2 linked regions of the Drosophila melanogaster genome follow. The protein of the gene in region 1 interacts with the protein of each later gene in a pairwise test. Each region holds a gene or a part of one and is shown in the gene's direction. Other genes may lie near its edges.

Evidence for each region. Proteins that work in one complex are often made in the same cells at the same time.
Region 2: the proteins of Vps51 (region 1) and Os-C interact in a two-hybrid assay, tested with the Drosophila melanogaster proteins (one large-scale study listed by BioGRID).

What each region holds. Positions count from the first base shown.
Region 1 is NT_033778.4:18,709,069-18,712,826, reverse strand, and holds the start of Vps51 (vacuolar protein sorting 51), read left to right. Parts: upstream 1-1,961; 5' UTR 1,962-2,051; coding exon 2,052-2,132; intron 2,133-2,208; coding exon 2,209-2,960; intron 2,961-3,020; coding exon 3,021-3,657; intron 3,658-3,709; coding exon 3,710-3,758. UniProt on the Drosophila melanogaster protein: May act as a component of the GARP complex that is involved in retrograde transport from early and late endosomes to the trans-Golgi network (TGN).
Region 2 is NT_033777.3:7,977,299-7,980,196, forward strand, and holds Os-C (Os-C), read left to right. Parts: upstream 1-1,660; 5' UTR 1,661-1,676; coding exon 1,677-1,766; intron 1,767-1,818; coding exon 1,819-2,190; 3' UTR 2,191-2,316; downstream 2,317-2,898. Other genes in the region: CD98hc (CD98 heavy chain), read right to left, coding at 264-377, 640-664, 720-767; Sfp84E (seminal fluid protein 84E), read right to left, coding at 2,463-2,898.

The sequences.
Region 1 (3,758 bases):
CAAACTGCACAAAACATATTAGTGGGCCGAACGTGGGTGGTGTGCACAGCTTTCTCTGTGCCGCACGCAGAAGTGAGAAGGGGAGCAGGAGTGGGGTGGGGGAGAAAGTGAGGTGTGGAAAACCTGGGACAATGGCAACTTGACCTTGACACGTTCGACGCTTTCCGCCGCCCTCACGTCCTTCAGCTTTTCACTTTTTTTTTTTGTTATATTTCGCTCGGCTTACGTAAATTCAATTTTCAGTTTGATGAAAGCAAAGTTCATGCCACACACAAGCGCGAGTGTGTGACACACTGTCCCACTGTCGGTCTTTTCTTTTTTTGTTTGTCTAACCTTTAAGAAGACCATTGCAATTAAAAGTTTTAGTTTTCAATCATAGAAATGATTTGGAATATGAATAATGGTTATTCATTACAAACATATAATAGCATAGTGTGTTGCGAATTAGGATCCTCATCAAACTCCTCATTGCTATACATTTTTCTCAGTGCACATGATACAAGTTTGGAGGCTGATGGCATTGGAGAGCGTGTGATTTGCACAATCTGCACACAACTCGAAATTAAATTCGGCCCCGGCAACAGCTCGAACTTTTTTGCGAAAGGTCAAAATGTTAATGTATTTGAAATGAGACGCCACAAAGGAACGAGAGCGAAAGGAGCCCAGGATAAAATATAGTGCGAATGGTGGGAAAATTACGGGGAATGCTGCAGGGCCAGCAGCCGAAAAGCGAGACTCAGATGCGAGATACAGCAGCACAGGGAACTTTAGGCCCTCGGAATGTGGCAAAAACTTGTCCATGTTCATTCAACTTGACACGGTCGCCAGCGGGCAGACGAACTCCCACCGAAATAAAAAAGGACGCACCAAGAAGTACAAACAACTGCTACATATTTATGCCACGACACTGAAAATACCCATTACAAAAAATGATTTAATGATGTTTAAAAGATATTAAAACTGTAACATAGGGCAATTCAGAATTCAGAAGAATATATCTTTCAATAAGCGTTACATAGTTAATCGCAGTTTCGAAATACCCAACGACAGGGTATAAGACCTTAACAAAAAAGATGTCTGGTAGTGTGGAGGCGGTGGGCGTGGAATGTTTAATGCGATTTGCCACACGTAACTCAGTCTGGGGAGACTGTTGAATTACTTAGGATACAGAAGCCCACATCGTGTTCTACTTTTGTGCTTTATTGAGCCAGGTGATATACAAAGTTATTTGCCATGATTTGGGTCCAAAATGCACAGCATTGTCACGGGGTCCGTTAAGCAATCTACAAAATGTTTAAGTAATTAGGTACATTAGTTAACTAACATTTTGTTGTTACTAACCAGCAGTCACAAATGAGCTGCACAGAGCTGCAATTAATGCGGAAACAAAGAGTAATAGCTTCATGTTGTGATTGCTTTAATAAAACCTTTTACATTAATGCCATTTATGAAAAACAAACAAGTATTTTCTTATCAGTTTGAAATGGGAGATTCCCAATAACAAAGCCGCGATTAGAATAAAAATGACAGAGAGCTTTGCAAACTAAGATAATCTCAGTTCACGTCTCTCACGATTTAATACCAATTCATCACACACCTATGTGCCTAAAAATAAAAACAAAAAGAAAAAACAATAAAAAAGATAATAAAATAATATATTTAATAAAGACACTAACTTTATAAATACTCAGAAAAATATTAAAAATTAAAATTCTTTCAATATAATGCCATAGCAGTACTATTCTGCATTAACATTTAACTGTCTAAATTATTATTCACTTAATAATATAATAATAATATAATAATATTTCTATTTAATTTAAAATAAAAAGTTGCTAAACGCGCACCGTTCAAAAAATGATTGTGTGGCGGTATTGGATATCGATAACAATATTGGTAGTCAGCTGTTAAATGAGGGAAACATTTTTCGTTGCCCAACACACCTTAACTTATCGATATACGAAAAAAACGATAAATCTTCAGCAACAACAAGTTCACAACATTTAGTTTATTTATTTATTTAGACTAGTGGTAAAAAAAAGTTCTACAAAATGGCTGAAACCAAAGCCAATCCCTTCGACATGGACAGCTCCAGCTTCGATGCGGAAAAGTATCTGGAAAGGTTGCTCAAGGTAAGAACAACAAAATAGTGAAGTAATAATCATTAACTTATGCACTTTTTGTTCTGGCTGTTACTCACAAATAAAGGATTGCTCCTTAAAGCAAATAATGGATACGGAGGCGGCGGTGGTCAAGGACACACAGACATTGCACTCTGATATGCAGACGCTGGTCTACGAGAATTACAACAAATTCATCTCCGCCACGGATACAATTCGCCGGATGAAAGATGACTTCAAGCAGATGGAAACGGATGTGAACCTACTGATGACCAAGATGCAATCCATAACGACTTTTAGTGAGCAAATAACCGGAACGCTGCAGGGCACCAGATCGCAACTATGTCGCCTGTCCGAGAAACACTCGCTCCTCAAAAGGCTGCAGTTTCTCTCAACTCTGCCAGCTAAACTGAAGTCCCTCATCGAGGAACAGAACTACGCACAAGCTGTCCAGGACTACCTGCATGCCCAGAAGGTGTTCGCCCAGTACGGTCGACAGCCGTCCTTCGATGGAATCCAGCGAGATTGCGACGCCATCATGGCAGATCTCAAGGAGCAATTGCGAAGTGACTTTCAAAGGGCTGGGAACACGGCCCAATCCTTGACGGAAATTGGAGAGCTACTCCTGCAGCTGGACGAAAAGACTTCGGATCTGGCAAGCGAAATGCTGACTTGCGCTGGCAAACGACTGCACGAGCAAATCGTCATGCTGCAGGATCAAACAGAGCGTGATATGCTGGAGTTTGTGGACATGGGCATCGATGGTTTCCTCAACGATCTGGCACTGGTAGTGACTTCCTACTTTGACATGTTTGTGGCCAAGCACTACGAGCATGAGCGGTAAATTGAACAATATTTTGTATAATCTTAATTGAGTTTTATTATCCATTCCATTTTCAGCGATGACTTTCAGGAGAACGCCCTGCAGGAGCTAAATGTCTTCCTCAATCAGAACATCGAAAAGTATCTGACACTCGTCCAGGATCGTGTTGAGTCCGACATTGGCTACGGCGATACCCAGGTAATGCTACGCGCTCTGGATCGACTTCATCGGCGCCTTCAGGCCATGCGAAATATCTGCCGCGGCTTGGAGGTCCAACGCAACACAGTATCTATCATTATTTCGGCTGCCCACCAACTATGCGATGCCCATGCCAAAAACCTCAAAGATCACTTTGCCGACAGTTTGAGTGCGGTTCGTCTGTCGCTGGTTTCTGCCAAGAGCGATGCAGCTGCTGGTCTCAATCTCGGTGATCTGATAAGCAACCTTTATGTGTCCATGGTGGAGAAAATAAAGGGTGTACTGCAGGACTTGCTTATATTCCTGCGCACCGACTGGTCGTTTAACATCAAGGCGGAACACAAGGGCGCCCTGTGCGTAGAGGGCATTCGGGAGAACCTACTCATTGGCTTCCTACGTCATATTGCCAAGGTGATGTGTGGTTTCGGAGATGCCTCCAGCTCCAGTCCACCCAATCTACTGCTGGTGCTGTCGAAAACGTGTCTGGAACTCGAGCAACAGGGCGTTCACATACTGGTGAGCTTTCTATTGCAACTATTTTTGATTCCCTAACAAACTAAATCCTCAGATTGCTCTGGTTGATGACCTGTACGAAATCGACTCGGAGAACAGTGCAA
Region 2 (2,898 bases), on another chromosome or scaffold:
TTCGAGTTTGCGCTTCATTGGAAAATGGACCTGTGGCTTGGTCTAAAATCGATATCGCTTTCCGTATACTCTTCTTATCTCCCGCGTACTGATAAGCACACGCCCACCACGACCCCAGCCACTCATGAAAAATACACATATACACTTTTAAATATAGATACTTAGATACATTTTCATGAGTGCTTCCAGTGAAAATTCGACGCATTGTTACGTCAGCCATACATTTTTCCCCAGCTGTAGACACAATTTCTTTGTTTAATTACCTTTTTCGGGGTTCGAACTGGCTGCCACAAAAGTATCTTCGGCTATAGTTTTGTAGACCTCCGTGGAATCGGGTGGGTATTCAGCAGCTGCGTTGATTGTACTATCACATACGCCTAAAATAGACCGCAGCAAGAATTAGCGAAATGAACGCGGTGAAGAATTCCTTACAAATGCCTCGTTTGTGTGGTATGTAAAATATTTTATAGATTGAATACGGGCTTACCAGGAATTAATCTACCCATCGGTCATACCTTATTCCATATTTTTATAAAATACCTCGGCGATTTTCAGTGCCTACTTACGCTGTCTTACAGATGCTCGTTGCTACAAAACTGATTGGCGGGAAATTTGAACTGTTAGCTTAGAAAAACTCACCAGGAGCTGGTAGCGTAACGGAGCTCTGCAATATTTTTAATCACTTAAAATGCTGAGATATTTGAATTTAATGTACTTACTTTGCTGGCCCCACCTCCCAAACGTATCAAGCGCGAGAATAGGTTCATGGCAGTGGTGATTTCCTGAGATAGTGAAGAATTTAATTTATATTAATGAAAATTACTGTGCTTCAAACAGACTAGCCCAAAACCAATTTTTACTTAAGTATTGTATTGAAGATATGTATTTCTGATGAAGTAAGCTCTTAAAGAAATATTGTAATTTTATACCAATTCATTTGTAGTTACAGCTCACAATTATATAATGATAATTGGGATCGAATAAATATAAAACATTGTAACAAGGTATGTATTGGCACACACTAAAAAATATTATATGTACACATACCCTTAGCTTTTTTGAAAGACTGTTAATAAAACTATAAACAATAAATGAGATATTTGGCACTGGCTTGTATTTTGCACTGTGACCTGCCCAATAAGAGGTCTGATTCGCAACTAAAGTTGCAGTTTCGCTCTGGCAGTGCATCGCCCCCAGAGGCGCAGCCCCAATCCGAACCGCTCCTCGAGTTTGATTTAATTATACCTGTGAAAGAAACGCGTTCCGTGTGCGTAAGTACGATTTATGGCTCGCGGCGATTGAGATTGAGCCGGGCCCAAAAAAACTACCTGTCTGCGTGGCAGCTTACCTGAGCTCTCTCGCTTGACCAAAAGCCAAGTTGGTGGACCGGGTTTTGTGGCCAGCCACCAGCGCAGAGCAAACTGCACTCGTCGGCGCATTCCAGGCCCAAATATGCTGAGTTGCCGGGTGTTTGGAGAGTCAGAGTCTGCCGACTCCACAAGGTTGCCGAATAGAACTCAAATTGGTTTAGCTGGGCCACACCAAAATTGACCAATTGCTGCATTACCCTGCATATTATCTTTTTCCGATTAAGAGACATGCAAGTGTCATTAGCCTATTAACTGGGAGCTATATATATGGCAGGCCGGTGCGTAAGCCCCAACCAAGTTGACAAAATGGGTTTTCACATGGGACGACAGCTGCTACTCTCCGGATTCCTGCTGGTGATGCTTCAGATGGTGACCCAAACGCAGGCCAGGCCGCAGGTGATTGACGAGTATAATCAGTTCGAACATGCATAACTCAATCCGCCATCAGGATGTGATCACAGTTGCTGGCGAGGAGACAGAGGTGGTGATCAAGCGGGAGGGCGATGACGATGGAGACGACGATGACTCCTCCTCCGAGGAAACAGTCGAGGATTCCGAGGAAAGCAGACGCAGACGACGCGAGGTGAATACGGACAACACGCCATCGGCTCGAGCGGTTATTCCAGGTTTGCCAGATCCGGCCACCATAATCAAGATCGCTGAGCTTTTTCAATCCGTAGGCGAGCAAGTAGTCCCCATTCTCTTGGAGGCCATTCTTCCCAGCGTGGATGCAGCGGGCGATCGCTTCGCAAGATCTGTGCAATTTCTGAAAAACTTGACCCCTGGCTCTGAATTGTTTGCCGTCGAGAAGAACGAATAGCCGAGCCAAATTTAATGTGACTACCATTGAAGGAACTGGACCGGAATTGATTTGACTTTTGTATCTGCATAGTGAATCTTAAACAAGTGAATAATATTTGGATGTAGTTTGGTTTCTTGAGTTTCTTAAAAGAATCATTGTTTAAATATCGTTGTAGTAATATTTACATTATATTAAGACATGGTATAACATATTGTCTTATAAGAGGTATTAGTGCTACCCCTAATTATTTTATTTTGGTTACATCAATATATAAGCTCTCAGATTGTTGTTTAACCTTTTGATTCAACTATTTCGTTTTCCGCACTGGTTAAAATATAATAGCTATTGAATCCAGGCCTCTCCCTGCAATTTCTTTCCAAATTTCCAAATAATATGTCAATGACGCTATCGATTGCATCCGACATGCTTCCGCCACAGAGAAGGATTTCCGTGAAAACTTTGTGGATAAGTGGGTGAATGGGCTTGTCGAGGCACACTTCATTGAGCCTGTCTAAAATTCCACTGATCATGCCATGGATCACTTTACCAACCAAGTTTTTCTCTTTGAAAATATCCATGCAGTGTTTATAAAAGTTTTCCGTATAGTCTCCTAATGTAAGTTGTGTTGTTTGATTGGTTCTAGCCCGTATGACATTCTGCTTTGGTTTCACAAAGCTTCTATAATGACTCTTGAGAGCTGTCCTGTGAGCCCCTAACACGCATGGC